3 linked regions of the Lonchura striata genome follow. The protein of the gene in region 1 interacts with the protein of each later gene in a pairwise test. Links are inferred from orthologs where the notes say so. Each region holds a gene or a part of one and is shown in the gene's direction. Other genes may lie near its edges.

Region 1 (10,421 bases):
AGATTGAGGTTTTTTTAAGAAGTCTCAAATTTCAAAATGTTGAAGTGGATGATTTCTCCTCCTTCATCCCTCTAAGGGCATATCTGTAAACAGATCCTGTGCTGCCAGCTCAGGGCTCCCTGGGGGCTTACAAGTGGGACTGTCCAGTACTTGTACATGAGATGAACAAGCTTCATGTTTTTAAGAAGGTTTCCCTTTAAAAGCTTTAATTTGCTTAAGTAACACATTTGTCTAATGTTATCCCTGCTGAAACTGATGTGGATGGATTCAGGCAGACATCACATGTTACATTATGAGTCTTAACATTTCACTAATTGTATTGACCTACTTCTGTGAATCACAGATTATTCTCCAGCTCATAAAGCACATCTGATTCCTTTACGTAGTTGTTCATGCAACGTGATACAATTGCAAGGCCCACAAGGGGGTGAAACCTCATGATTTATCTTTCCAAGTAAGCAGATAGCATCCCCAGCTTTCATCAGTACTTTGACCACATTAATAAAATGAGGAACAAAGCTCTTTTATCTCCTGCAACTTGTACAGTTATTTATTTCTTATCTTTTCCTTCCCTTTTAAACAGAGATAACAAAATGTGAATTGAAATTAGAAAAGCAACTGTTTGGCTCTGACTTGGCCATGTGGTTTTTTATTTCCATGACAAGTTTCTGCAGGATGTAATGGGAAACAAAGCTTTGGTATAGAGACCTCAAAGGGTAGGCAGTCAGCCATCAGCTGACATACCAAAGACTTCCATTCAGTGTCTCTGTGCTGAACTGCATCTTCTGAATAGATGAGTTCTCTGGCTATTCATCAACAATTTTAACTTATTTGTCAGGTATGCATGTAACTCCCTATGAGCTGGGAAGAATGTCCTCTGCTAAGGTAGAAAAGCTACTGGGATAAATGCACTCCATAGGGAAACTGGCATTTTAAGCTTTGGCCAGTTTCTCATAAATAGAAGTGCTAAGATCAAGCAAATAATTTGCCAACTATCTCAGGACTGAGGCAAACACACTAGAAAAGACAATTCCAAATGCTCCAACTAAATGAGCCATTATGAGCCTGCCCAAATTCCCAAGGACAAAACCAGCCCCTGAGATGAGAGCCCACAAGTCCTCATGCCAGCTTCACTGGACTTTGGATCAGGGTCTTTCATATTAAAAAAACACCTGTAGCTGTGCATCTTAGGAATAAACTTAGGAATAAAGACAAGAGACCACTTCCAAAAATGAAGAAGTGTGTCTGACAGCTCCTTATGGCTCTCCATGTAGTAACTTGAAGATGAATCTTTCAGCTGATGTTTTTCACTGTACACACAAAAGCTCCCTGCTTCCCGGAACAGAGGAAAAATAAAAGTGATCAGCTAAACTTAAAACCCCAAAATTGCAAGCATGTCTGTAGTTGATTACTTCTCTAAGCTGCTCTACTTCAAAAGAAAATCTCATTATTACTTGTGTAATGATCTCATTGATCATTAAGCATGGCCTTTTACTAGAGCTACAGTAACACTGGAAGGATATTTGATTAAGAATGGATAAATTCTTTTAAATGCATTTGTGACTCTTCTATATATTTTTAACAAAATATCATTAAAAATGTAATGGAATATGCATGAGCAGAGCAAGCTACACATATAGAAACATGCTTATATTGACACAGATGGTATTTTCAAATATTAAATATTTCAAATAAGAAAATAGGCAACAGAAACATTAATTCCCAATAAACTTTAAATGCATCGACTTTAAAAAAAATAAATACCTCATACTTTCAATATTCCCCCCAGCATTTCTTTTTTCAAAAGTGTTTGCAAACCTAAGCAATGAAAGTCCAACATTAGGTCTTTCTATAGGTATACTTTTCTGGCTGAATTTACTGCTTGCTAAAAGAGAAGGCAAATTGCTGAACTCTATTACATATACACATAATAGAGCAAGTGCCTTTGCAGGTCTAGCATTTTGCAGACTTAATATCCCTCCTTAAGTGGCTTAAAAATGATGAAATTTGTAATTGTTCACTTCCTGTATTTTATACTAGTTTGCTCAAGTCTCTAACAGCAGTATAGCACCATAATTTAAAAAACAAACAAGGCAGAGGTAGGTGAGGAAATTACTAAGGATGTGAACATGATGACCATATCTAAGTTTACAATGAAACTTCTGACTTGGGTGGATTTATTCTCTTGAACACACAAACAGGTGCACTAACAGCAGGTTATTAGTGATGGGATGGCCATGTTTTTTGAAGTGCAAAAGTCAACTCACCTTAAAAAATGGTTGGAATTTCCTTCCCAGCAGAGAAAAAGCTGCTCTATGGCAGCTCTCTCTTCTGTGCTTACTCCCATTTCAGCTCTGGGGAGCTGGCCTCTTACTGTTCCCAAAGCAAGATGTCAGGAATCGTGGCTGCTTTCCCTGGCACATGAGTAAGCAAGCTATCTCACCACAGAGACCTGCAACAGAATATGGGCATCTTCATGAGGTGCTACATTTTGTTTCAAACCTTCTGCTTAAACATCAGTTCCCAGGCACAAGGTGGAACAGCAGCTGGACAGAAGAGATGGGGAAGTTCTGGCCACAAGTCAATAGGCAGAGGGATCCCTCAACTCTTAGAAGTCAGGGAGCAGGAGATCTGCCTGGAGTGCACTGATCCCCTAATAGCCTGTGAATGCCCTGAAAGGGACATCTGCTGAACTAAATCTTGGATTTAAATTTAATCCATGTGAGTTCCTCTGCTTTTTATTTATCTAGGGCTTTCAAACCACAAGGAGAGTCCCCATGCTGACCAAGAAAGGAAATGTGTCGTTGACTTAATGTCCTCACTTCCCTGTGTAAAACACATAGAAAATATCCTTTCACTGACTCCACACAATTACACCCACAGCTGGTCATGGGGCTCAGCTGACCATGAGAAACCTTTATGTTGCTCCATGACCAAAAGGGCAAGAGGTCAACTGCTGAGTCCTGAGACATCTGACTGCAGCTCCTGCCATTAAAGGGCCCCTGCTGCCATTCCCAGGAAAGGTATTGGACATGAATGGATATCTCTGCACCCAGGTTTTACACATGCTTCATTTAATACATCACCGTCTTGACTGGTTCGCTCTCCCATCTCTGAGGTTTCCAGAAGTTGGACAGAGGTAAAAGACACGTTAGGCAAGGAGCCTCATGTAACAGATGGATAGACAGTCCCAGCCTGACCGCTTCATTGAGCAGTTCAGCCAATTTTTCATGCCGTCATCAGCAGTTGCAGGCCAAAAGGGCAACAGAAAGGGAGAGCTTAATCTGTAAGAAATCATCAGCAAATGGAAACAAGGTTAGATCAGGTCAGTGCACTACTAACTTCATTATTTTGAAATCGTATGCACAAATCACTTCCCATTTTAGAAAGCAGAGAAATTTATTTGATAATTCACATGAATTGAGCCAAATCTGGTGGAAAGAAGAATTACTTTTTCTTTAGGAGAGCCTACTTCTTGATCATGTAATGAGTTGTACTCAGCTTGAGTGATAGCTGTCAATCCCACTATCTGCATACCCACACTCCTGTCAGACCCTAAGGTGCTCAGAGCAGAAGTGACGGGAGGGAATAACGCATGGCCTGAGTGCAACTTCCACTGGACAGGGACTCAGTTACCCACTCAAAACAGGAAGTAAAAAACGTGGTCCCAGCACACTCCTGTCACAGGCAAATCTTTTCTCCCTGATCTACATTAAAGATTTCCAACAGCAAAGGAAAAAAGGGTGTTTCAGTAGCTCATCAGTCATTGAAGGTATAATTGTAGCACAGAAGAGTACTTGGGTTTTATACCAGCTCAATGAATGGAACATTTGGAGTGAAGGTACAGTTTAAACTCATTAAATGGCTCACAGAGAAATCAAAGGTTAGATTACCAGTGTGCTTACTAATGCTTTACCATGTTTTTGCTGGTAACCTTGCTAGGGTAGAAGTAAACTGCTGTCTGTTGAAAACAATTCCTGGACAATAATACCTTCTGCTTCCCTTTGAGAAGGCTGAGAACCAAATCCCACAACATGCTGCTGTGTTCCACTCTCTGCTCTAAATTAAAATAAATAAAAGTTCCTAGCTGCTTACAATTTGCAAACATTTATAAAAAAGTTTGTATCAAATTCCATTAGCTTTAGAGCCATAAATATTCCTTCAGTTTTCTGTAAATGAAATGAAGAAGAAGTCTCAAACCACTTCTCTGCAACTGAAGGAACTGTTTCACCTCATATAGGCTGCTTTATCACAAGTCAACAATAAAAAACTGATGAAATATGGTGTTAGAGCACTTTAAACTTTCTTTTTGGGATCCACTCGAAACCACCACCTCCAAGTTGACATTCTGGAGAAAAGGAACATTAAAGAATGAACCTGAAGCCAAGGCAAATCTGAAAGCATGGAAGGCCCACCACCAAGGTAAGCCTCAGTAATTTGGTTTATCACTCAGTCTACATCAGTCCAAATCAGAAGACACTTTGGGGTTCTATTTATAATTCTTTTCTTAGCTGTAAAGGCTGTTGGTTTCTGAAAACTCAGCTGTTTGCATCAGGGAAAAGCATGAATTACATGAAAATGAGTTGGCTTGCAGCAAAAGTTGAAGAGTGTGATCTATCACTTCATGCCAGGACACAGTGCTTTGGTTAGCACCATTCCTCGCAGCTGCAGGGAACACACACACAACTGTTTATTGACACAAAGTGAAGAAAGCCTCAGAGCAGATTTGTGTGGCACACATTGCACTACAGCATCAGAAAACTTTGCTCCTTTGCTCTAACTCTGCTGCATTCTGGTCCCATACTCAGAGGAGAGCAAAGCAGAGCAACATCAAGTGGACTTTGTTAAGGCTGAAGTACAATGAAAAGGAGAAAGAAAAACAAACAGAAAAGCACAACATCCACTGTAGATGAGAAGCAGCAGCATGACAGCCATAACTACAAATGTGCATTACTCACAGACACAGTTTGCACAAATCCTTCTTTACTGATAACAAATAACCTACCCACCAAAATCACAAACTTAAATCACACTTGGTTCTTTATGTAAAAGGCTTAGGAGATGGCTTTTTTTTTTTTGTGCTGATGGTGAGGCATTTTGGAGTGTTTTTTTCTGGGTTTTCTGGTGCTGGAGTGGAGTGTCTCTGTTTGCAGCTGTTTGAGGCATTCCTCTATAAAAAGATCAGATAGCATGGGCTTCACATTAGTTAAAAATAATCTAAAAAAGACATTACTTGGCTTGTTCCACACATTTTACATTTAGAAAAAGCACCCATCATCTGACTCCTCAACGCCTATCTTATTTTTATTGTATCTATTCAAATAGCACTTTTACACTTGAGCGAAAGCCAAGAAATTCCAGCACTCAGTACGCTCTGCCATCCCCAAGTCAGCAAACTCGCTGGTTATCAGGAATAAGGCAGATACCGTGTGAGTGCGGGCCGGGGGAGGAGAGTCATGCAGGCGGCGATGGGAGGGGATGGTTGTGTATTAATAGCCCGTGCCCGAGCGCCGCAGCCTCTTCGGGGTCGGCGCTCGGCGGGACTCCGGGGCAGCAGGAGGGACCGCGCACCGCCGCACCGAGTGAGTTCTGCTTCGGCTCTGCTGCCGCCCTGCTCCTCTCTCCCCTTGCTTCTCTCATCCTACTCTGCCCTCCCTAGGCTACAGCGGCTGTGAGCGAGGTCAGGCTGTCAAGTTATGCTACGTGTAGAGCACGTCCTGAGAGCGTTTGATTTTCTGAGATTTGCTCGGTTTATCCAGCCTGGCCCTCCGGCTGGTACTACCGGCAGAGAGGAGCGCTCTATAGAGAGCAGCGCGCTACACGGTGGCCGTGAGTGTAACTCAAGCACCTCATCTATGCCTCCTCTGCCGCTTACAGGCATCCTTCACCTCTGCCTGCTGCACTTAGGACATCTGTACGACCACGTGCAACGCTAAAACCAGACTTCACTCCAAATTGTGAGCTGCTTTTCCAGAGGCAAACAGGCTGATCACTGGCTTGTTGTACAACCAAGCCCCTGTTCCTCGTCCTTGCTCAGTCAGTGCTGAGCTACTTCGATAATAAGGCTATGTGTCAGGTACTTGCCAAGAAATCAGAGTGAGGAGGCTCTGGGAATTCTGCAGAGTTTTCAATAAGTGGAAACTTATTTCAAGCCAATATTCCATTAGAGGTAAAGGCTGACTAAAATGCCTTCACTTACATAACCAAGCTAAATCTAGGCTAATGTCAGAGAAATTAGATGAATTTTAAGCAGCACCAACCAGTTATTCTAGGTCATTGTTGTGCCCTGTTCTGTTCATTTTTCAAGTTCCTGTGTTCTAAAGCAATGGATTAACATACTCTGGTCTTAATTCCCACAGTCATTGTATAGAGTAAAAATCTCCTGCATCTGACTCCACTTACTCAATTTTTCTCCTTATCAAAGTTGAAGGTTTTTTTGTTATTTGTTTTTTTACTTCAAAATTATAGTCTAAATAGGCATTGAGGATTTTTTTTCTTTCATTCTAACTGCTGTCATTTTCCTATATACATAATCCTCCCACACACATTTCCTCTGTTAAAAGCAGTCTGTTGTTCCCTGTTCATTTCAGACTATCCAAGCAAACAAACCGTAGCTATAAAAGTATCTTTCCCGGGCTTCTGTACTCCTTACAACTGTTTGTAAACACAAGTACTTTTATACTAAAACTTGCAACATTTGTAAAGAAAAAAAAGACACAGAGGTCTTTTTTAAGTTTACTTTTGTTCATTCTTTTGTTTTATTTAATCCAAAACAGAATCCACCTCTCCCTAAAAAAGTGCACATTGTGTAAATTATTCCTCGCAGCAGACACACACATGCCCAGGCACACAGTCAAATCCATTTGTATAGAAATAAGACTGAAGCTCTCTAACTTTTAAACTGAAAATATACACAAAGTGGTTCTTAAAAGATTTCTGGTTCCTGCACCAGCAAGCATGCTAGCTAGTGCAGCATGCTCCTATGCCACTGCCCAACATGCTCTGGTGCTCTAAGCTATTATGTTTGCTCATAACATTTGTCATTGCTGTCTATCCCACCTTCTCCTGAGCAGCTGGAAAGCAGGAGCAGTTGAATCTAGTGCTCATTTTCAAAATATCCTAGATCAAAATCTCACCAGAAAGTAATTACACTGCCCAGGAGCCACTGATGAGGCTGATTGGGCTAGCAGGGGGCACAGAAAGCTATGCTTATTCACACCTGTCATATCATATATGCTGCAAATCTCAAACAGGTGATTATTTTACCCTTTTTACAGTTAGTCCTAGAAGTGTGAGGAAAAAAATAAGGGGGAAAAAAAGAAGCCAAATCCCACATATACATTTCTACTTTGAAGAACTTTGTTTGATCGCAAGGCAATCTGCTAAAACTCCCAGAAAACAAGCTACAATGAACTGAGGAAAAACTGAAACACCTACTTTTGAATCTCTTTAGAAGTAACTAAAAATATTGCTGAAATTACTTAGTAAAGAATAAGCATGAGATGGAAAAGGAGAGAAAACAAGGACATTCAGTGATACCAGGCAAAGTGTACTATGCTTTGTAGTTGTAGCAGATGCAAAGAGGGAAGGGAAACAAAGGTTTAAGCTGTCTCACAGGCTTAGTTTAGTTGATGTGTGATGAAAGGTTTCCCTGAGAAACTAGCAGCAAACTGCCTCTCAGAAAGTACTTTCTACTAAAGTGTAGGAACACACAGATTAGGGTTTTACATAACAAGCAATTTGTGACTGTGTCTCAAACTGCAAATTTCTCACTTGTGGCCAAATTTGGGTGGTCCCCAGGCTTCTGGCTACGTGTTGCTCAGAATTGTAAGTCTACATTTGGCACTGCTGTTCCTCTCAAGGAGACTGGCAATGCTCCTCAGGCTCACTCTGGCTAAGAAAAGAATTTCAAACTATCTGAAAATACTTGAGATCTGTGCCCCAGCCCACTGTATTGGTGCCACCCAGGCACGGTGGTCTGTGCCAGGCACTGCAGGGCAGAGCAGGAGGGCAGCAGGAATTTGTGACCAGGACATGAAGTAGGTGGTACTGGAGAATTCTGCAAAGTGAATAAATACCTTTTCCAGTCAAATCTGTACCTGCTACAGGGGTCATATACAGTGCTTAAAAACCTACCTAATTCTTTCATGCCTATAATTTTGGTGTGTTTTTAGTAAATTATACAGTAGATTGACCATATGCAACAGGTCAAGAGCAAAGTAGTTTAGACAAGCAGGGGGAAGGATTTGGTGCTTGTACTCCTTCTTGCACTTAAACACACACTCACTCCCACACATTCCTGGGATAGAAAAAAGACCACTTTTGCACATCCAAGGAAATATGTTAGGCGACCAAAACAGTTGTTTTACAAATTTTTGTGCTGGACAGGCTTGAGAGGTCAGAAAATGGACATGATTCATCCTGGCAAAAAGCAGCTGCCTTTGGAGAGCCAACTGAAAAATACAGAGCTACGCTGCTCGCAACTGAGCTCTGAGCTTTGTAAGAATATTATGAGGTCATGCTGATTAATCTGAAGAGTGCAGAGAGAGATGCAAAGCATGAATTTTAGAGCAATGACATGGGGTTGGCAAACATCAAGATTATTTAGGCTCTTGTTCTACCACAAAATGCTTCTGGGAATTCTTGAAACATCTGATGTGGAAATAAGACTTAAGTAGTTTTTCCTGAGAAAGGATCCTAACCACTGCTTTGCCTGCATCTTTCCTGAGATATCTTGCAATTTTATTTACCAGTATTTCATGGTCTTGAGTGTGGAATTTATTCATCTAAAAGAGGCTGCACAAAGCAATTTCAAAAGTTGCCTACATAAAACTGAGAACAAGGTGATACAAATCCAAAGCTTGAGAATCAGAGAGAAAGCAAAGTCACCACAGATGCTCAAGCCCTAAAGGGAAGGGTGTGGCAAGCCAGGCAGACTGAGGACACGCTGCTCAGGTGGCTGAGCAAAGCCAAGTCCATCACCACTTCCCTGCCTCCTTAATTTTGCTGACATGTGAGACCTCCCTCATTCACTTCAGTTCAAACAAACAGAGTGAACTTCAGATATTTGAATTAATTATTATCAGTTTGATTGTAGTTACTTGAGGGGCAATCGCAAACTAGCTCAGGGAAACCCAGTGGGGTCTGGCATTCTCCTTCAACAAGTCTTGAGAGTGGACATCCATTCACTGCCCATTCACACTGGACTCCCACTTAAAAAAAAAATAACCACCACTTAAAAAAAAATAACCACCTTTCATATCTTTCTTATCTTCCTCTTTCACTGATACATTGTGGTTATTTTTCTAAAAAAAAAAAAACCAGCAAAAAACCTAGTGGTTTTTTTCTGTGTTCTTGAAGGACTTTTTTGGGTTCTGAATTTCCACATCAGCAAATCAGGCCTGAACCATCATTGGAGAGATAATTGCTTTAAGGTCTCCTACAGCTCCTTTCTTTTTAAAGCCCACATATTGACAAATCAGGCTTTGCTTAGACAGTACAGTTTTACACATCAGGTCACTTGAAATAGTTATAACTATTAGTGCTACTCAATACTCTAACAGTAATGCCTTAAAACTTATTCTCATTTTAGGATGCTGATTTCCCCCACAGGTCACAAATAAGCAACACAGCAGGTGCATGCACATGCAAAATCCTTCTAAAAAAGAATTTAAATCTGTATTATGCTCTAAGTGATCCAGGTATCTAATCTTGAAAATCATGCTAAGAAGTATCCGTTATATCTGGAATTTATTATTTCAAAAGTTGACCCTACATAAAATTCCATAAACATTCACTTCAGATGATTTGTGTATTAAACAGAAAAGGGTGCACATTTTTTTTCCGCTTTTTTTTCCGAGGTCCAGACTGCTATCTTGCTTAGAAATATAAGCTATCAATTTCATATGCTTATTTTCTATAACTGGACCAGAGTGGGAAAAGAGACCATCAATTTTCAGAAAGAGAGCTGACAGCAAATAGAATTAGAGTTTTTAATTTTATTTTCTGTCAAAACAGACTGCTGTGAAAATCTTCCATTCGAAGACTTGCAGTCTTCCATCAATCTGCCAATATTATCTAATCCTTCCAAAAGGATGGGCAGAAAATATCTTATTCTCTTTGCTATAAAAAAGAACTAATAAAGACATATTTTGTGGGGAAAAAAAAAACAAGACAAAACTATTAAATCAGTACTATTCTTGGTTTTCAAAAGCTGAAAAATATCTTTTAAACCTGTAATATTTTTTCATTCAAGGTAAAAAAAATTGAAGACATTCCTGCAGCAACCAATTTGATCAGTAACTAGGAGGAGAGCAGCAGCACACCCACAGGCAGGGCAAGGCTGCTTCTCAGATGGTTTCTGTCTTTTCAGCACTGCTCAAACAGGATAATGTAAACTATTATGCCCTTCCCCAAAACCT
Region 2 (10,735 bases), on another chromosome or scaffold:
GACTGGAAAGTTTGAACCTGAGCTTGCCTGGAAATCCATGGGCACTGTCCTAGAATAGGGGGTGGGTTTATAAACCTGGATCTGGGTTGGGCACTCTGTGCCCAGCCTTCAGGGTGCAGAGAGGATTGTTTTCCTGAATGAGGGTTTCCTTACAAGCTTTAAACTATGAAAAGTTCTCTTCTTTAGGATTCAACTTACAGAGAATTCCTGTGAATTCAGGGCATTTAGGATAAAATGAGTTTTCTCAACCAGGAGTAAACTGGCACCTTGGAGCAAGGTGTTGGTGGGCTTTACAGCCTGTAGTTAGAAAAAAATGAAGGGACAGAGCATGATTCCCTGCCAGCAAGATTTCCTGCTGTCCTGCAGCACATCCCCTGCTCGCTCCCTGCCTTGCTTTCCCAGTGTGCTGTGTTAATGGTAGCACTCTGAGCATTGTCTCAGAGTGAAGTGACTAAAGTGGGAGTTTTGAAGCCTAAATAGCTCAAACATGATCCTAAGGTGGTGACAGCTCTGCTGCTTGCTGCTGGTCAGTCCAGCTGCTGCTGTGTGTCCCTGGGGAGCTGGACTGGCTCACAGGGCTGAGCTCCAGCTCGGGCTGCCTGGGGAGCCTGGTCTGGATTAGCAGTCTGGCACTCTGCAGTGCCTGGCACGTCCCTTGTCCCCAGGGAGCACGGACAGCAGCTGCTCTGGGAGCATTTCCCACATGACAGCTGGGGCTGCCCAAAGCACACGGAGCTCCTGAGCCAGAGGAAAGCAAAGAGCCACCCATGGTCTTCCCCAAATGAAGAGTCCCTTTGGCCTGTGGGGAACAGCAGGCACCCTCCCTTGCCCCTCTCTCTGCATTGGTGGCATTTCCTGGCGTGGCAGGAAGGAGCCAGGCCCTGACGCCTTCCTGCTCTGCTGGATGGGGTCTCATGTGGCTTTGTCCCCGCTCTTCCTCCCCTCAGGCTTCGACTGCCGCTGCGGGAACCTGTTCTGTGCCATTCACCGGTACTCTGACATGCACGCCTGCCCCTACGACTACAAGGCAGAAGCTGCCGAGAAGATCCGCAAGGAAAACCCCATCGTTATCGCCGAGAAGATCCAGAAGTTGTGAAGGGGTCCGAGCAGCTCGAACTGCAGCCAGGCCGCCTGGTGCTCCTCCCCTTCCTCCCGGCCTTCCTCCTCCTCCTCCCAGCCCCTGCGGCGGTGCGAGGGTGACTCCAGCAGTGCTCACAAACCGGCACCTGGACACGGGGACTCCTCGCACCTCTGGCAGTCAGCTGGTGTTCCTCCTCTCCCTTCCTGCCTGTCCGACAGCCACAGCTCAGCTGATGTGTTCTCAACCAGCTTCCCAGAGGAAAAGGGACCGTCCTGCCCCGCTGCTCCAGCGCTAAGACCTTGGCACTTGCCTCTTGCCGGGCAGTATGAGCGGCCGGGCTCTGCCGGGCAGCCTTTCCCTTCCCGGCGGCTCCGAGTCCTGCAAAGCACCCAGGGCTTGTGGCTGCAGTCCCCGAGCAGCTGCTGGACTCTGTTCCCTCTGCCTGCAGTCCCGGGAGCTGGGGGATCCTGGCAGCCAGGCTGCCGTCTGCTCCCCGGGAGGTGTTTGCTCTCAGATGCACAAAAGTTGATTCTGTAGTTCAGCACCCCAGACCCCTCTCCCCACCCTCTGCTGACGCTGTTGGAGAAGCACCAAGGGGGTTGAGCAGTGATGCTGGCACAGGGAAGTTATATTGTGGCTTGATGTGGGCAGGGCAGGACCTTCCAGGAGGTTCTGCTTGCTGCCTTGTGCCTCTCTCACAGGGAGGCAGCCAGGGACACCCCTGCTCCAGCCTCCTGCTTCAGCACCCCTGGATAACCCCGGCTGCTTTCCCAGCAAGGTGTGTGTCCCTCAGCACTGCCTGTGCCTGCTCTCCTCTCTCCCCTCTTTCCCCTTTCTCCTCTCCCTTCTCTCCTCTCTCCCTGCCTTCTGCCTTACACGAGTCGCTCTCATCAGGGTTGTGCACAAAGCTCAGGTCCCCACGCCTCTGCTTCTGGACCTGTCCCTGCACCCAGGTGACAGTGGGGTCCCCTCCTCCCATGTGGGCCATGCTGGTACTGGGGAGAGCTCGGGGAGCCCACCCAGCTGCCCTCCTCTGCCTCCTCCCTCCCTGTGGGATGAGAGGCAGGGCCAGGTCCCCAGGAGATGCTCTGCAAGCCAGACAGAGGGAACTGGGGCACAGGGAAAGTCACGAGGAGGGTCCTGGGGTGCCCAGATGTCCAAGTGGGGGCTCAGAAACGCCCATGGAGAGACCCAGGGAGCAGGGAGAGGTGCTTGGAGGCCTCTGGGCTCACTGAGACTCAGAATTCCCTGAGGTGCTGGAAGGCCCAGGGAGGGCTCCGGGGTGCAAGGAAAGGCAGAAGGAGAGCTTTGGGGTACAGTGAACACGCTCAGAGGCCTCAAGCACCCTAAGAGGCACGTGGAAGGCTCTAGGGCTGCTCTCACGCACTCACACAGGAAGGGAGGTGTGGGAAAAACCAAATGCCACTCAGTTCCACTCCAGAAAGAGCACCTGGAGGGCTCGGTTGGGAGGACCTGGGGCTCAGGGGTGCAGCACAAGGCAGGCAGAGGCTCCTGGGGCACAGCCACGGCCTCCATGCCCAGGGGATTCCTGGGAACACCAGGAGCGGGGCTGTGGCCACGGAACTCTGGCTTTCTCAAGCAGAGAAACCCGGATGTGTCCCGGGGGACAAGCAGCAGCCTCTGTCCCACTCTGCTGGCCATCCCACGCTTTGGAAGCATTTCCCTTGGTGTCAGCACAGCTGCAGGGCCCAGCTGGGGGAAACCATAGCAGCTCCTTCCTTCCAAAGGCTGTTTTCCTGCCCTGCTTGTGGCAGTTCTGCCCAGGTGCTGGAGTGTTTGGTTTTTGCAGTCTGCTCCAGCCAAAGCAGCGTGTGCTCTGTGCCAGCTGCCATCCTGTGCTGCTGCTGGCAGCATCTGAACCTCCCAAACTGCTGCAAACCCCCCTGCAGCACAGAGAGGAGTGAGGCTGCCTCTCGCCAGCCTTTTCCTCAGGTTTTTCCTTCTGGATAACACTGACATGTCTGGAGCATGCAAGTGGCTGCACGTGTTAGCCCTGGACACACCTGGGCCAGCACAGAGATGGTGGTGGCCAGGCTGGGTTTGGCCCAGCTGTTGGCTGAGGATGATCCCTCACCCTCAGGGGATGCAGGAATTTTGGCCACCAGCCCCGAAGAAGTGCAGCAGCTCCCGTGGATCCTTGGGAAAGGCCACAGCCACCTGCTTCTCCAGCACCGCCCTTTTCCCTGTTCCTCCCTCCCTGTCCATGAGTGTAAATACAACACAGTCTAGTTTGCTTGGATGCTGTGGGTGCTTTGTTTCAGGCAGGATGCCTGGGGGGCTTGGCTTGGCTCTTTTGGGGTGGCTGTGGGGCTCTGTGCCTCAGTTTCCCTGTGGATGATCATTCACAGTACCTGGTGCTGGCTGGGGATCAGAGCACCCCAGACCTGCACCCCCCTGATCTCAACTCCACCAGGGGCTGGGCTGGATCTCCAGGGGTCACTTCAGCCCTGACAAGTCTGGGATTTTGCCTTTTGGCTCAGTAGGGAGCCCTGGCTGGGTCTGAGGGGCTCCAAGGTTCTCCCGGGTTCCCTCCTGTCTGCTGTCACCTCCGTGGGGCAGGAAAGGGAGTTTGGGACAGGCCCCCAAAGCCACCCCCCTCCCCACGTGGGGGCATTTGGGCAGTGTTTGGCACCAGGACTGACTTCAGCAAGGCTTTGGACGCTGCCTCCCGTGACATCTTTGCAGGTGGACACGGGAGATGTGGGAAAATGGAGTGCGGAGGGCCTGGCTGAGTGCAGAGCTCGGAGGGGCCTGGAAGCACAGCAGAGTCCCCAGGGATCCGTGCCTGCTCCAGCCCTGCTCAGTTCGTGTAGCAACCTGCGGGGGATAGAATGGACTGATCAGGTTTCAGGGGAGTGACTGACTCTCCTGAAGGCCGTGCTGCCATTCAGAGGGGCCTGGGAGGGGGCAAACCCAAGGGGGTTCAACAAGGGCAAGTGTAGGGTCCTGCACCCGGGGAGGACAAACCCCAGGGGCCAGCACAGGCTGGGGGTGACCCACTGGGGAGCAGCTCTGCAGAGGAGGGCCTGGGGCTCCTGGGGGATGACAAACTGTCCCTGAGGCAGCAGAGTGTCCTGGGGCCAGGGGGACACTGGGACCCTGGGGACATCGGGAGGAGTGTGGCCAGCAGGGTAGGGAGGGATCCTGCCCCTCTGCTCGGCCCTAGTGAGGCACATCTGGGCTGCTGTGTCCAGTTCTGGAGAGGAAGGACAAGGAGCTACTGGAGAGGGTCCAGTGGAGGCCCCAGAGGTGATTTGGGGCCTGGAGCTTCTGGTGAGGAGAGACACTGGGAGCTGGGCTTGGTTAATCCAGAGTAGACGGAGAGTGTTGGATGTTTGGTTTTTTAAAAAAAAAAAGACTATAAGACATTATGAAGTCATAAAAGCTCAGAAGTTAAACTCAAGAATATAACTACGGAGAACAGCCAGACTGACATTGACAGAAACCAAACGCAGCTCCGGAGCCGTGCCGAGCAGCCCGTTCATTCCGTGCCGCTGACTTTGGGAATGTGGCAGTGCTCACTGTGCCTGCTGGACTCCTCCTCTCGCTGCTTGCGGCTTTCCCACGCTGCCTTCAGGATCCGCTCCATTTGCTGCTTCTCCTGCGCCGGGGTCCGCTTGTCCAGCCCGCGCTTCTCCTCCTCCTCCTGCTGCTGCTCCTTGCTGCCCGGGATCTGCTCTGGGATCTGGGCTTTGTCTTTCGCCTTCTTCTCCCGCTTGCCGGCCCCCAGGGAGCCCCCGCTGCCCTTCAGCCGCAGGGGACCGCGCTCCATGATTTTTCTCAAACTCCTAGATTTTTGTCAAATTTTATACGGTCCCAAACCCATAGAAAAATCCATCGGTTGAATGTTCATTGGTCCCAACTTGTGCAGTTCTTAATGCTTGGTTTCCTCTTGGATATGGATTTCCTGGCCTCTGATGTTACCTAGTTCTTCACTCCTAATTTGCATTTCCTTATCGGCCTTTTCCAGGTGTCTCCAGCCGTGCCAGGGGGCAGGTGTGGAGCAGATGGTGGCAGATGTTTCGCCAGTGGCCCTTCATAGCCTTTATCTCTTGTGTATCTCTTGTGCCGCTCTCAGCCCCGAACTCCTCATTGCTCCTGGTGGAACAATGCTTTGGAGGGAAACTTCCCATGCCCCGGGGCCAAGGCGAACAAGGGGCCAAGGCAAACAAGCGTGACTAAAGTTAGGAAATAAAAATTTTAAACTTGGTATATTTTCCAACAAGAGGCGATCTCGCCAATCCGCATAAACATCTCCAACGTGAGCACCAGGCTCCTTTCAGTGCTGCAGTGGCCATAAACTAAACTAAACCACCAGAAGTCCCACCTCAAGGTGAGGAAGGGCTTCTCACTGCAGGTGGCAGAGCACTGAGCAGCGAGGTGGTGAAGCCTCCCTCGGGAGACACTCCAAGCCCACCCGCTGCAGGAGCGAGGCCGGGCTGGGTGATCTCCAGAGGTGCCTCCCAGCGCCATTTGGGATTTTGGGGCGCGGGAGCGAGGCCAGGCTGGGTGATCTCCAGAGGTGCCTCCCAGCGCCATTTGGGATTTTGGGGCGCGGGAGCGAGGCCAGGCTGGGTGATCTCCAGAGGTGCCTCCCAGCGCCATTTGGGATTTTGGGGGGCGAGCGAGGCTGGGCTGGGTGATCTCCAGAGGTGCCTCCCAGCGCCATTTGGGATTTTGGGGGGGGGAGCGAGGCCAGGCTGGTGATCTCCAGAGGTGCCTCCCAGCGCCATTTGGGATTTTGGAGGGGGAGCGAGGCCGGGCTGGTGATCTCCAGAGGTGCCTCCCAGCGCCATTTGGGATTTTGGGGGGGGAGTGAGGCCAGGCTGGGTGATCTCCAGAGGTGCCTCCCAGCGCCATTTGGGATTTTGGGGGGGGAGTGAGGCCAGGCTGGGTGATCTCCAGAGGTGCCTCCCAGCGCCATTTGGGATTTTGTGGGGGGAGCGAGGCCGGGCTGGTGATCTCCAGAGGTGCCTCCCAGCGCCATTTGGGATTTTGGGGGGGGAGTGAGGCCAGGCTGGGTGATCTCCAGAGGTGCCTCCCAGCGCCATTTGGGATTTTGGGGCGCGGGAGCGAGGCCAGGCCGCGCCGCGCTGTTCCCATGGCAACGGGCGCGGGGCGATGGCGTCACTTCCGGCCGGGGGGGCAGCGCCGCCCCCGCCTGGGAGGCCGCAGCGGCCGCGGGGCCTCGGGCAGCGGCAGCGGGGCCGGGGATGCGCAGGTACCGGGGCTCGGGGGCACACGAGCACGGCACGGCACGGCACGGCACGGGGACAGCCTGCGGGGGGCGGGCTCCGCCGGCCGGGCGCTCGCGGCGTGCAGCGGGGGGTCCCGCCGCGCGGCCGGAGGTACGGGAGGCCCCGGCACGCGGGGGAGGCCGTGCTGGTCAGTGAGGGGGGACACGGGGGTCAGTGACGGTTTGGAGGGGACACAGTGGGCAGTGAGGGGGGACACGGCGGTTAGTAAGGGTTTGGGGAGACGGTGGTCAGTGAGGGTTTGGGGGGACACAGTGGTCAGCGAGGGTTTGGGGGGACACAGTGGTCAGTGAGGGTCTGGGGGGACGCAGTGGGCAGTGAGGGTTTGGGGGGACACAGTGGGCAGTGAGGTTTTGGGGGGACACAGTGGGCAGTGAGGGTTTGGGGGGACACAGTGGGCAGTGAGGGTTTGGTTGCTGGCCTCCGGGGATATCCGTGCTGGAGCTGCGGCTGGCAGAGCCCAGGATTAACGTTAGTTCCGTGCCCGTGTCCCAGGTACACTGTGGTCAGTGAGGGTTTGGGGGTCACTGTGGTCGGTGTGGGTTTGGGGGGCCCACGCGGGTCGGTGGGGGTGTGGGACCCCCCCAGCGGGAGGTGCAGGCCGGGCAGGGTGTGTGAAACCCCCCAGAGGCGGGAGAGGCTCCCGGTGGGCGGCGTGGCCCGGGGCAGGGGCAGAGCCACGCGGGCCAGCCCGGGCTCATGGAGGAGGTCGGGAGGGGTCTGGGGACTTACACGGGCCCGGTGGGGCTGTGGGGACACGCACACAGTGATCGGGGAGGGTCCCACTGCTCCGTGTGTGTTTGGGGGTCCCTCAGCGATCAGTGAGGGGCAGTGTGAGTGGGGGTGGGGGTCTCCATTCCCGTCTGCAAGGTGGGACGGCCGCGATGGACAGGGAGGGGGAGAACTCACCGCTCTGGGGTGGGGGTGAGTTGGGGGGAGGGGTCCGTGCTGGGGGGGCCCGCAGCAGGCGATGGAGGGAAATGTGTGTGCGGTCAGGGTGGGGGTCCCACAGCCCCTGTGCGGTCAGGGTGGGGGTCCCACAGCCCCAGCCCGCTCAGCGTGTGTGGGGTGGGGGTCCCGTGCCTGTCAGAGGAGGGGGGAGCACCCACCAGTCCATGGTGGGGGCCGCACAGCGGTCAGTGGCTGGGTACAGCACGGACCCCCCTCGATGGGTGTGGGGTCGGCGTGTGTGCGTGGGTCACGCCCCACAGCAGGCGTGGGGCGAGGGCAGGGGCCGGGCGGGGCTGGCCACCCACGACGCGGTGTCCCCGGCCGGTGCCTGGCTTTGTCCCAGCGTGTGCGTGTGACACACGGTGTTAGTGGCCCCTGGTGCCACCTCCCCGCGTGGACCCCACGCAGGTGCGAGGCCACCGGACTCCCCGGGAGTGCCAAACCTGGGAGGGACGCGGCTGCCACGTGCCAGGTGTGGCACCGGCCCTGGCCCTGCTGTGGATGGTCACCGGCCCGAGGGGGCCTGGCTCCTACCGGGGCACGGGGCATCCCTTCGCTCACAGTGTTGTGGCATATTTCAGTGCCATATCCCAGCTTCAGTGCCATATCCCTCTTCCACCCTTTCCTCCCCTTTCCCAGGCCTTCGGAAGCAGATGGAGCGAATTCCTCGGGGTGTGGGCTGGTTTGACATTCCTCAGCTCAAGCCTGTGCCCAAACTTGCAGAAAATAGTTGCGTTTTTTTTTTTTTTTCCCCTCTCTCCTCTTTTCCCCTTCCTCTCCCCTTTCCCCTTTTTCCCGGGGAGCTCGGCACTCCCGAGCGCCTAGGTGGCCCCGGGGGATGGGTGTTCTTTGTCCCATCAGCCGTGTGGCTGCTGTGGGGGTGGTGTGTGTGGGATCCTGCTCTTGTCCTCGCCCCCTCCGCGTGGGCTGCCCGCGGGGGCTGGCGAATGTGGCAGGAGCTGGGACTTCGCGGGGGCTGCGTGTGCTGGGTGGGGGCTGCAGAGGTGCTCGGGGGGGGACACTGCGGGGAGCACGTTTGTCCCCGGCCGTGGGTGACAGAGCCCTCAGAGCCGCCGCCTGCCCGCAGGCCCCCGCCGCCGCCGGACGGACCGATGGACACGGCAGCCCCGCCGCCCGCCCCGGGCCGCGCTGCACGGCCGGCGCCCGCCGTGCCCCGGGCCGGCTGAGCACGGCGCGTCTCCGGGCCCGGCGTCGTTGCCGGCCTCTGTCCGATTGGGATCCTCCCTCGCTCCGGGCGCGGCCGCCTCCCCTCCCGCCTCGCCGCCGTCATGAACGGGCTGTCGATCAGCCAACTCTGCTGCCTCTTCTGCTGCCCGCCCTGCCCCAGCCGCATCGCGGCCAAGCTCGCCTTCCTGCCCCCGGAGCCCACCTACGCCATGGTGCCCGAGCCCGAGCCCGTGGGCAGCACGGGCTCCCTGCGCGGCGCCGCGGGCCGCTGGAAGCTGCACTTGAAGGAGCGGGCGGATTTCCAGTACTCCCAGCGGGAGCTGGACAACATCGAGGTGTTCGTCACCAAGAGCAGCCGGGGGAACCGCGTCGGCTGCATGTACGTCCGCTGCGTGCCCGGCGCCAGGTGAGTCACTGGGTGTGAGCTGGGGCACTGCTTTGCCCTGGGGCTGCCCTGGGGGCTCCTGTCCCCTTTTCCCCCTCAGCTGGGCCTCGCTGGAGGAGCTGGCCCTGCTTTGGAGGTGTCAGGTGGGATGGGCGAGCTGGGCTCCCCGACCGGTCCGGCTTGTGGCCGCACTGGGAGTGGGTCTAAACAGGAGCAGAGGCAAAGCCAGAGGCTGCAGGGGTGTGGGGATTCCCCAGGCTGTCTCACAGTCCCCTGCAGTGCTCCAGTTGTTTGCTCAGGGCTTGGTGCTCAGGGGGCACCAGGGTGGCTGCACCAGCTGCTTCTGCCCATCCCCAGCCCTGCGGTGACCATGGGGATTGGGCAACTGCCAGCCAGGGGAACCTGGTTTAGTCAAATTCACAAGGACTTTTGGTTCCTCAAGGAAAAGAGTGATAGGAGTGAAAGCCAGGAGGGGTTTGGTCACTCTCGTGGGTCAGTGGCACCCTGGGGTGTGAGATGGAGACCCCCTCCTGCTGCCACTGCCTGGGCAGAGGAGACAGGAGGGGACTTGGCAGCTGCTCCCTGAGCAGTGGCACAGTTTGGGGGTTCAGGTGCAGAGGGAGGCCAGGTCACCCCAGCTGACCCCTTTGCTGTGTCTTCCCAGGAAAAACAGGTCCTCAAAGAGCAGCATCCCAGGCTGCAGGGCTGGAGGGGAGAACCTGGGCTGGGGGAAACCAGGCCTACCAAACCGTGGGGTATCAGGTGCTGCTGGATGTCTGACTTCCTGCAGCTCCTCCTGTCACTGACTTCCAGCTGGGGCTCCCTGGGCATCCAGGCCAGGATCGGAGGCTCAGCCTGGCCACAGACCACTCAGACCAGCTGCAGGGGCTCAGCAGGGAGTGGGTCCTGCTCCCTCCCTCTGGCAGAAGGGAGCCAGGCTCCCATCAATCTGCTATTAGTGTTAATTTTTATGATTAACATTGTTTTTCCCCTTATGGTGGTAATTTCTTGTGCCTTGTCACTCCCACAATTCACTTCTCTCTCAGCATCTGGTGTCTTGCCAGGCTCAGGAGAGAAAAAACCTGCTGTCAGAATTCTTACTTGAAATCCCCATTGGGCAAACGGCCCCAAATCCTGAGCTTTTAACCAAAAATAGACTCAAAAACTTGAACAGAATCATCATCCTGCCTTCATGCTGCCTGTTCCTGCTGGGAGCGAGCCCCTGGCTCTGGCAGCAGGAGGGTCTGGGTGTCCCTGGGGGTGTCACCAGGTGGCTGGAGGGGTGTTGGCCCTTCGTGTCCCGGGGTTTGGTTGCTGGAGCTCCGGCACGGCGGCAGAGCCCAGGATTAACGTTCCGTACCCGTGTCCCAGGTACACGGTGCTTTTCTCCCACGGCAACGCCGTGGACCTGGGCCAGATGAGCAGCTTCTACATCGGGCTGGGCACCCGCATCAACTGCAACATCTTCTCCTACGACTACTCGGGCTACGGCGTGAGCACGGGCAGGCCCTCGGAGCGCAACCTCTACTCCGACATCGACGCCGCGTGGCAGGCGCTGCGCACACGGTGAGCGGGGCAGGGAGCTCGCCCTGCTGGCCTCAGGAAAACCCTGTGCTCCAGCAGGCAGGAAAACAGGAAATCTCCCAGAAGGGGAACCCTGGGCCGCTTGAGGCAGGAAGAGGTTGTTGGAAAACTCTAGAGGGAGCAGCTGGGGGATGCAAGGGGCAGGGATGCTGCGGGGCATGACCTTGGCACAAGCTCTGCTTCCTGTCTCGCTGTGCCAGGCTCAGCTCTGGTTCCCCTGCCAGGTTTGGGGTGCAGCCCCGTGCCAGGCTCTGCCTCCTCTTCCTCAGG
Region 3 (10,645 bases), on another chromosome or scaffold:
AACTATTTCTTGCAAATTCTAATTATTTCTAAAGTCTTACTGAAGTTGTCTTGATCTGTCTGAAAAAAGTGGGAAAAGGGAAGTGTATTTCTGAGAGTAAAGTGCTTGTCTTAAAGGAAATCATGTGGTGAAAATTTTTTGCAAATGTTCCATGTTGAGTTGATGAGTGTTGTTCTGCTGCTGGTGAATCCAGTGCATTTACAGTAGCCAGTTCTCTCTGATCTCTGTGAAAGAAGGGCCAGCTATTTTCTAGGTGGGAACTCAAAAGGGTTTTCTGCGCATGCAGAAAGTAAGTGTGGGTAGTAACCCATGTGCCACAGGGCTGTAGTTCAGTCCTCTGGAAAACTCTGTAGACCATTTTGACCAAATGGTTGAGTATTGCTATTTCTGGCAACTGAATTTACTGGAAGCAAAACAAGGGCAAACACAGTGAGATTCTGTGGGGCAAGTGATGTTTCCTTCTCCTGTCTTTGTCACCATATGGAATGGAACCTGGCCCCATGGGATATAGTGAGAAAAGGAAAGAAAAGAATATTAATTACAGAATTGTTCAAGTAAATACACAGTGTTTTGTATGGGAGGCTGAACAAAGCTGTGAAACTATCATATGTGGCTAAATGATGAAATTATTAAATAGCTTAAACATTATAAATCTGTTGGCAGTTGCTTTACTTGGTAGCACAAATACTATCCTTCAGTTCCATCCTGCACCTGAAATTGGCTCTGCTTATTTGCCCATCTGTGGGGATTAGTAAGGTACAGAATTGCTATGAACTTTTCATAAATGGACACAAAGAACAAAGTATTAGCAGTTAAATCTCTTGCACAGGCACCACGGACTTTGGGTAGATGCAGCAATTTCTTAGTTGCAGCTGACATTATTTTTCTGGGAAACAATAGTCTGTCCTTCAGAACTGTACTTCAAAATCATGGCAGGGCTGCATACTGGTTGATCTGAAACTATTCCCACCCTTGTATTCTTTTCCATCTTGCTGAAAAGATCAGTCTTTTCAGTGGGTTTTATTGCTGGGATACAAAAGATGATTTCCAAACTTTCTGCAATCAGTTTAGGAGAAGACAGAACACAAGTGACTGCTATTACCCCAAAAGAACCAGAAACAGTATTCTTAAAATAGCCTTCAGTTGTGTTCATTTGCCCATGCTTCCAGCTGATCCCTGTCTCTCTCATTTCCTTGCTCACAATGGGCACAGCTGAAGATGCTTTCTGATGCTGTTGTTCAGTTATAGAAGGCACTGGCTGCTGTGTGGTGCTTCTCAAACAGATGCAGTGCAATAAAGGAACTAAAATATATCAAATATTATTCTAAATGCAGTATGCAAAGAGCAAAATAGCTTCCCTGGATGAAAACATGCTTGTATCACAATGTACTTGTGTTTCTTTTCCTTGTCTTTCAAATCTTCACTTGGAAAGAATCTTCATACCCTCTTTCCTTTGGAATTATCAGCAGTTTGCAAATCTCTGTCTCAAGGCTACAGTTAATACACAGTCATTGTTGATTTGGAATAAACTGTCATGGTTATATCCCATAAGGTCCAGCACAGGTACTGTGCTGGCTCTCTAGCCTTCCATCCTTTGGCTCCTGGCTAAAGCTGTTGGGCCAAACACAGCAAATAGTGTTTTACTATGTCCTTTATTCTTTTTCAAATAATGCTCTTAATTCTCAGTTCTTGGAGCATGTGCCACATTTAAAGATGTGGACAGATCAGCACATGTAAAATACTCTGCTAGGACATACATCTTTTTTAAATGTTGCCAGTTGGCATCCAGATCCATGGACTGGAAATGGGAAACAGCTACCATTAGCTGAAAGCAAACAGATATATATGTTGTTCATGTGGGAAGAACATTGCTCTTTAAAAATTCCTGAAATAAAATTCTGATTTTGTGGGAAAGAGATCAAATGTAAATGATCCTTGTTATTTCTTTTGCCAGGAAGCAGAAGCATGTCAGTAATTTCAGACAGTATGCAAAATTAATCCTATGCTATTCAGAAAGGAAAGAAGTAAAAGAGTGTGAGGTGGAAGTGAGCATATCTGAGATGAAAGCTGCTGAGAACAGGAGAAGTTGGAAAATTCATATTAGTGGGAGAATAGAGACGGGGAGGAAAACAACCTTATCACACTGTCTTCCAGGTGCCCAAGGAATGGGCAAGGGATACTTGTTTCTCAAGAGATGAATGACAAATCAACACAAATAAATTGCATTCGCCATCTCCAATGTTGTATTTTTACTGGTTGGTACCTGGGGGAGGAGAGGGCTGGTGTGCAGTTCCACCTGAATATGGTGGCATATTTCCAGGTCAACAGGGGTGGGCACTTCCTCAGGTGTGCCAGTTAAGTCATCTGGCTCCTCTCTAAACCACATCTGTGACATGGCCACCTCCGTAAAGCATCCTCAAATTAGTACCAAAGCAAAGCAAAATAAAACATTTTGGTGGTATAGTTGAAGTCCAACTGTTCCACTGTATGGTTCTGCATTGCTGATTGGGCTGCAAGCTGTGATGAAGAAAGGAATGAAGAAAGAAAGGTGATGTGTGATCCAGTAGAGGAGATTGGGGGACCTTGTGCCACAGTGGTGAAAATCACAGTACCACTGATGCAAATATTCTAATTTTCTTGCTTTCAGTGGAGACATGTTTTCTCTTCTTAATTATTATACTATGCTACTTGTGACTTAAACTTTGCTTAGTGCCATTTTCCTTTCTCTCTCACTTTTTAGGGTAAACATTGCATTCTTGATGTTTCTGGTAATGCGATCAAAAGGTTGCAGATTGCCCAGCTCTACCCAATCTCCATTTTTATTAAACCCAAAACAGTGGAAAATATAATGTGAGTAAAAATAAAGTACCTCAAGCTAAGTTGTTTGAGACTGTTGTATTTGAAAAGCCAACTGAAAGTTATATGCAGACAATTGTAATGTGTGTGTTTTAAATATTATTTAATTCCCTGAATTTAATTTTTAGAGACTTTAAGATGGGGCTTCTAATCCAAATTAAAGTGCTTGAAAACAAAATTGTTTCAATTCCATGCAACATAATGCTAGAACAGTTTCCACTACAGTCTTTGCTTGGTGTCTTTAGGATTTAATCCTTTTATTAGGATTAATATTCAAACAACAGTTTAAAACCTTAAAGACTCCAAGTATTTTATATTGGTTTTAAAAAGGTATAATATTTGCACTTTCAGGGAAATGAATAAACGCTTAACGGAAGAGCAAGCCAGGAAGACATTTGAGAGGGCCACGAAACTGGAGCAAGAATTTACTGAACACTTCACAGGTGTGTTTTGCTTGTGACTGCTCACTTGCCTGAGTTGAAATTTTATGGCTTGCTGTAAAAATAGTACTTGCCTAACCACTGAGATAGGGAGCTTTGTTTTTCAGATGATCTGTGATTACTCTGAGGTATAGAGCTATCTTCATATCTCTACACTGATTTTCCTTTGATCAGTTAATATAAAAAATAGACGAAAATTTACTGGGAGCTTAATTTAGTTTTTAAAAACGCTAAGACTTTCTGACATTTTCCAGCTTCATCAGCAAGTTTTGTTTCCAGCGACTTAAAAAAAGCACATCCTTATTCAACTTTGAGGTTACTGAGGTTTGGAAGAGGTGTGGTTGAACTTAGCTGGAGAGAAGATACTAAAGCTTATGGCCTATTTGCTTTGCAAAGACATTTCTAATTTTTCTCATGCACTGTTGTGCTGTGAACATTATACTTGGCCTGTAACAATGGAGCAGCCTCCTCCCACAGGCAGTACAGCATTGAGCTGCAGATGGGGAGAAGGTTTTTAAGAGATAAGAATGGAATGGTAGGAATAAAAGGGAACTAATTTGCACAAAAGCAAATCTCAGAAGCAGCACTACTCTATTAATGCACAGAAGAGTGAGTCTGACCTGCCTCCAAAACTGTCTTTCATGTTAAACTTTACTTCTTGGATTATTGATGCTGAGATTGTGACACTAATTAAAAAGAAGTTGCTTTCTCACAGTGATTGCTTTTCCAGGCTGAAGTGTTGGTAAGAACAGCTCAAACTTCATTTTCACCAGACCATATTTTATTCTGATATGTCAAAACACATCCATATTGGCTAATTTCTAGTTAATTTCTAGCCTTGGCAAAAATATATCAACTGACATGATAGGAATGAGTATAGATTGCACTTTTAACTGTATAAGGAAGCCTCTTGTCTATAAAACTTGAATCTGTTCTCTGGACAACAAACTCCATGAGTTCCTCCTTTTTTTAGCCAAAGGCAGAGGTAGAGCTAGGTAGACATCTCGAGGTCAGCCTGCCTTGCTGTGCAGCTTCAGGACAGAGCTGAGGAGTTCACCAGCCTGTGAGGACACAGCCCTGCACTGTCGTGCCTTGTGTTAGAAACACAAATGAAAGTTGGGCCAAAAAGAATACTGGAGGATGTGAATTGGCTCAGGCAAATTGGAACCTGTGTCTAGGAAAAGGTTGTTCCTGTCCCCAAGGAAGTGCTTTGTGTGTCCTCCAGACTTTGCTTCAGTCCAGCCCTGAAACCAGGAGTGTCCACAGGAGTCTGTTCCTTCAGCAGTCGGAAATCCTCCTGCCACTCGGAGGGGAAGGAGCAGCCTGGCTTCTGCACGGAATGGGAGGGATGATTGCTGACTTCCACATTATATTTTGCAGCTATTGTCCAGGGAGACACTCTGGAAGAAATCTACAACCAAGTGAAACAGATCATAGAGGAACAGTCTGGTCCTTACATCTGGGTTCCAGCAAAGGAAAAATTATGAAAACAGATTTTTATTTTTCATTTTCTAACTACATCACCTACTACATCTGACGACTCTTAAGCCCTTCCAGTGGAGCCTGCCTCTAGTTCTTTCCAGCGTGGTTCATACCCTAACCATCACATTCTGCAGTTCCCATAATGCTTTACATTTGGTGTCTCTCTTAGTTTAAATAATTTGTATTATTGTGTGTTGTTGGTTTGCCATTTTTCAAACATGACAGTGGAATGGCCTGACCAGCTATTAGTTTAGGGTGGGGGTGGGAGGGAATTGCTGGGTAAAATTCCTTAATGTTTAAGGGAAAGTAACTTTCAAAGATTTTTCAAAAAAGCTTTATAGACATTCTTTTAAAATTTCATAACAATTGAAAGAAAAGTTGTATTCAAGGAAGTTGTAAATTATGAGTAACTTTGCACGCTTAACTTTAATAGCATGGTTTGGTCAGGGCAATCAATTTCAGGTTTTATTTTGAGTTCAATCCTATTGTCACGGTATCTTTTTTCTTTCCAGGCAGTTAGAAAGAAACTTTTAAATTTTGAGTTAGCATTTTCATTAAGTCCCATTACTACTCCTAAAGGGATATTAATTTTCATAATTTCATATGGATATTCTTAAAATCTATTTTTTCATATTTTTTTGCCAATAAAATTGCTAGGGACAAAGATGTGTAATGTTTTTAATCTTCCTCATGAAACACTATTTATAGTGTATTACAGAAATTCTTTATAGATAATGGTCGTCACACTTTTTGAGCCTAAAAATATGTTTAGGTGCTAGGAAACCTTGTATTTTTCAGAGGAATGCCAAATTTGCATTGGCAATAATTCAGAAAACAGCTGCAGAGATGGTCATTAGGGCAATGAGAGAATGATTCATAGCCTAAAGATGTGTGTGTTCTTAGGGGTCAGATTTTAATGAATATTTTACCCACAATAACTGCCTATTTTGTTATAATAAATATATATATATATTAAACTTTCTTTAACTAAACTCTGTAACTATGGGAATTATTTTCTTTACATAGTTGCGCACACGTATAAATATATATATAAAATATATATTTTTCTTTTACCACCTACTCCTAGCTTTTTGTTTTGAATAAAAATTAAAAAAAAACAAATTAGAATTTACCTTCCTTAATCACGGAAAAATCAAATGGGCTGTGATAGCTGGGCATGAAGTCCAGGGAATATTAGTACAAGAAAAAAATACATGCAAGTTCTCCTCTTTTCTACGCAATTCTGGGTGTTTGTCTTCCTCTGTCCCCTTTATAATATGCATGTCTTAACCAAAGGGAGAATTCAGAGTCAACAATATATTTTTTTCTGTACGTGTTCGTCTCGGATTGCACAGGCACAAGATCTTCCATTTGCAATGCACAAACTTCTGTGCTGAATGTTATGAATACGTTGTACCAAAACCTTCAATAATGAAATTCTCTAATTCCCGTATTATCTGGTACCTGCCATTGCTTGTTTGCAACTGATTGTTTTTAGAGGGATGTACTTATGACAGTCATGGGGCAGTCAAATCCCCACACAACCAAATCAGCTTTGGTTTGTAAAGAATTATCAACACTATCCATTCCATTTGTTAGAAAGAGGAGAACAGCTAATAAACTTTATTGTACAATATATTTGTCAAGTGTGTTTTTAATTTTGATAAATACAGGTGTTGTAGCACTTTAGAATAATTGACTGGGACTGTAAACAAAAATCAGGTGTTAGAGAAACACTGGTGGCCACCTTGGGGCTACTGAAGTTATGCATTAAAAGCAAGTTTAAACTTGTGACACAATTATTGCTGATGTTACATGGGATGCTAGTGCAGCTTACAGGAAGTTCAAGCTGCTGGTGCATGCCCCAGAAGAATTTCTGCTTCTCAAGATCTGGGAAATCAGGTGTGCTGCCTTTCTAAGAACTCCTGCCCATGAAAGTGCATGGTGTACTAGATTGATGCAAATTGATAAATAATGTCATAAATTTTTAAGACAGCTGGAAGTGTACTGTTGTGTTTTTGAAAGTGATTGATTGTTTGAGGTGTCTTGTGAGACATCTTAAAAGAGTAACTCTAAAAAAAAAAAAAAAAAAACAGAAGGATATGAATATATCAAATCTGCAAACACATCTGAGATCTCTGCATTGTATACACTTCTTTTTACCTCTTTTTTTTAACCCATCAGAAAGAGCCCTGTTCAGCTGAGCAGGTCTGTGAGGAATTGCTCTTTCATGTGTTGGAGTGTCTGAGCAGCTGTCGGGGAACTTTGCCCCCAGGCACTTGTCCTGTAGTAGCCAGGTGTCACCAAACACACTCTGACTGAAGTCCGCAGCAGTTACCTTGCACAGCAGCCTTGCGGGTGTGAAAACAAGTCTCAGATCAAGATATCTCAAAGGACTCTGGAGCATTTGCTTTGTGTTTTTAGTTTTGTTTGTTTCCAGTGTTACCTTTGAACACTGGCAGAAAAGTTGATTCTGAGAGCCCTGATGCTCCTTGTTGTCTTAACTTGTGTAATTGTCAGGGTTTTGCATTACTTAGTGTTTCTGTGGGTCTCATTTTTCCAGCATCAAGTACTGATATATCTTCTGATTCTTGGGTACACTTTTCTGTGTTTTAGAGTTATGTTTTACAATATGTGTATTTTGCTAAAGGCCTCTAATTTAACAACTAGAGTAATTAGGAAATACAAATGGCATCATACTGCTGTATTACAACTCTTTTGCTGGCCGAGTGAAGGCATTGTGGGTTTTCTTCCTGCCTGATAAACCAGCTATTTGTAATTGCTATACAGACACATGTTTGATGAAGTATTTGCTACCCTATATTATTATTGTAAGTTATATTATTTCTTTGTTGGCATTTTTGCTGAATTGTGCTGAAAACTGGGTTAAGAAACTTAAAGCACAGATACTCAAGAGTTAAGAATCAAATAGAAAAATTACTTAAATTCTGACAAACTGTGCTTGTGTGGTTGTTTAGAGGGGGCTGGGTTTGGAATAGACCTCCTGTACAAAAAGGCTGCTCCTCTGCCTTCTGAACCATTCCTTTAGAGGATCCACAGGAGACCCCTGGTACCTGGTTCATGTTTTACTAATCCTGCCCTTGCAGTCTTAAGTAACTGGTACTAGGACTGTCGGTCTTGTCATCTCCATATGAATGTAAACCCTTCTGCAAACATCAGGGAGAGAGGGCTTCAGATGTTAATCTGGCCAGTAGGAAGGGCACAGGAAGGATCTGAGCAATGGGTCCTTGAAAACATTTGGAAATACTCCAGTGGTACCGGGTTATTCTTTAACACTTCAGACAGCAAAGGGACAATTAATTCCAGACGGTCTAGGGAGCCAAGAGTTCAACCATAAAGCTTTGTTTGGGAAGAAAGTCTGGAGAGATCATTCTCTATTTTTTGCAATTCTAAACTTGAAATAGCAATTAATTAACTCAGCTGTTGTCTTACAGGTGTAGTCAGAGTTGCCAAACTGCAGTCAGGTAGCTGATGAGTGCTGGAGGCATCATGCCACACTCCCGGACCTACAGGGGGATGCACAGAGCTGCGTGGCTCATGCCCTCCCTGGGTGTGAGGACTCACATCACACAGCCCTTCTGTTTCTGAGCAGCTTTTATCTAAGCAAAGTGTTACAGGCAGCTGCAGTTCATTGACTAATAAGAAATTAATAAAAAGGCAGCACAAATGAGGATTGCTCTGTGAAGTTACACTAAAGTTCACAGCAGCTTTTAACAGAGCTAGTGTCAGCAGTTTTGATTCTTTCTGGGAGAGAATCCTTCCTAGGCCTTCTCTTAAACCTTAAAATAAGCCAGAATGATTCAGCTGTTTTATAGCAATTGCTATTAAATTTCAGGAAATGTGCACTTGGCATGTGCTGTACCCACCTGTATAGTGTACAGGCTTTGCTGTTTTAAGAGCCTGGGCTTTTAATGATGGCTTTAAGCAATTTTTGACAATGCTGAGAATGTGGCATCAAGTGACTGTCTACTCTGCCAGATTAACTGCTTCCCTTGAATCTCCTGCTTCCTGAGCCCCAGGTATAGGGAATACACAGACCACAGAGCAAGGATGTGTTTCCACAGCCCTACCCCACCCCCGTGTGCCGGTGTGTAGCAATTTAGTGAATGAAGTCTGTGGGTGGTGCCAAGGCAGTAGTGACCTCATTGGTGCCGCAGATATGTTGCAATTTCCAGGTCTGATATTTTTTTTCAAGTGTACAGGCAGTGTGAGGAGAAGCTTTCTTTTCCTGTACTCCTTACGAGGTGAGGCATGCGGAGGTAAGCAGGGCTTGTTGCTGAACAGAGTGCATTGAACTGCAATTGAACACAACTGATTTTCACCTAAAACCAGGCTGGAGGGAGCATTCTTGCAGGAGCCTTGATCTCTGGGAATTTTGAAGGCTGAAAAAGAAATCACAGATCCCAAAACTTTCACCATGAAGAGCTTGAGAAATGTTTTCTATCTTCTCTTCTTTCATGCTGGTAAGTGCCCTCCAAAAGCTTTTGCTGTGCCATGGGAACTCTGTGTGATGTGAGCAGAAGGAAACTAGAACCACTTTAGAGCTAATTTCATATGGCCAGGAAAATAAACAGATTGAAGTAATAGAAAAGCAGTAGAAAGGCTGCATTGAACATCATGTATATATCTTGACTCATTGGTGTCAAATGTTGTATTTCCCCAGCACTGAATCAATTTCTGGTTCAGTGGTGTCTGTTTTTCACAACGATGAACAGTTCTGTAACACTTACTTTATAAAAATAGAAATAATTGCTTTATTTCACTTCTCGCGCTCTGTGCAACATGTTGACTTACTCCTGTCACTCGCAAATTGTATTGGTGAGTGCTTGTAATTTCACAAGAGGTGTAAGCACTTTTTCTGAAGCAGTCTTCAGTTCTTCAGAAAACAAATGGTCCCAGTTAATTTCTGTTTTTTTTTCCATTTTTTCTTCTGTTGAAAGCCCTTGATACTGTAGTAGTAGCTGTATAAATAGCTATTTGATGTTACACAATGTGGTATCATTACTTTGAGGAGCTATTGGGATGTTTGTCAGTGATAGTTATAGGTGTGCTAGGACTGTGAGCATATTTCAAATGGAAGTTTCCAGCTTCTGCCTTTTTAAGCTTTATATATATATCTACTGATACACAGAAGGGCCAAAATTGAGAATAACCTTGGGTTCAGACATTGACCTGATGTTTTAAGCTGGTTTTCCTTGGCAGTAGGAAGAGGCTAACTGCAGGCCTTACCTGTGCTCAAGCCCGTTTCAGATTGGCTGTCTTGTAAGGAAGAAGCCAGGATATTGCCCAGATCTGACTTTCCTCTAAGAACAAAATTCAGCAATTTGGAAAGGGACCAATAAACACTTGGTTTTGATGAGTGAGGAAAAAAACCAATGGATTCATGCCGTTTCACTATTTTGGCTGAAATACAGAGCTAAAAGAACTTTATGTTTCAGGTGTATGGCTAATGATTTTTTCATACTTTGATGCTTTACCTCCTGTGTGTCTCTATGTAAAATCAGAATGCTGAGGCTGAAAAATGGCACTTAGCATACATACACACTGAGAGACTCAGTCCCCAGTTTAATTTCTCTTTGCTTATGTTTATAAAAAGAAAACCTCAAAGTAGAAAACAGGATTTTCCTTCCACTCCCAAGGAATTAATGGTGAAAATTTCACCCCGAAAGATGAGGTAGTACAAACACTAAGTTTTTGTGAAGTGTATTTTTACCATGACCTGTTGTAGCTTTCTCCCAACCGTCTTGGTTCTCAGAATTCTTGCAACTCAGAGGTGGGCAGTTGTTTCCCCCTCTTCTGGCATATGCTGCCATGAAAGCTTCCTGTAAGCTTTCCAAGTCTGACTT

The links.
Region 2: the proteins of HPGDS (region 1) and ABHD17A interact in binary tests that used the Homo sapiens proteins (3 or more experiments, as listed by UniProt). The two-hybrid records come from large-scale screens. The link is inferred for Lonchura striata from reciprocal best matches to the Homo sapiens genes HPGDS and ABHD17A.
Region 3: the proteins of HPGDS (region 1) and MELTF interact in binary tests that used the Homo sapiens proteins (3 or more experiments, as listed by UniProt). The two-hybrid records come from large-scale screens. The link is inferred for Lonchura striata from reciprocal best matches to the Homo sapiens genes HPGDS and MELTF.

What each region holds. Positions count from the first base shown.
Region 1 is NC_134606.1:51,676,105-51,686,525, forward strand, and holds the start of HPGDS (hematopoietic prostaglandin D synthase), read left to right. Parts: upstream 1-5,510; 5' UTR 5,511-5,582; intron 5,583-10,421. UniProt on the Homo sapiens protein: Bifunctional enzyme which catalyzes both the conversion of PGH2 to PGD2, a prostaglandin involved in smooth muscle contraction/relaxation and a potent inhibitor of platelet aggregation, and the conjugation of glutathione with a wide range of aryl halides and organic isothiocyanates.
Region 2 is NC_134630.1:2,612,640-2,623,374, reverse strand, and holds the start of ABHD17A (alpha/beta hydrolase domain-containing protein 17A), read left to right. Parts: upstream 1-6,266; 5' UTR 6,267-6,323; intron 6,324-8,395; 5' UTR 8,396-8,597; coding exon 8,598-8,902; intron 8,903-10,252; coding exon 10,253-10,447; intron 10,448-10,735. Other genes in the region: AN1-type zinc finger protein 5, read left to right, coding at 948-1,096. UniProt on the Homo sapiens protein: Hydrolyzes fatty acids from S-acylated cysteine residues in proteins. Has depalmitoylating activity towards NRAS. Has depalmitoylating activity towards DLG4/PSD95. May have depalmitoylating activity towards MAP6.
Region 3 is NC_134612.1:14,897,651-14,908,295, reverse strand, and holds the start of MELTF (melanotransferrin), read left to right. Parts: upstream 1-6,527; 5' UTR 6,528-10,645. Other genes in the region: DLG1 (disks large homolog 1), read left to right, coding at 2,741-2,850, 3,208-3,299, 4,677-4,783. UniProt on the Homo sapiens protein: Involved in iron cellular uptake. Seems to be internalized and then recycled back to the cell membrane. Binds a single atom of iron per subunit. Could also bind zinc.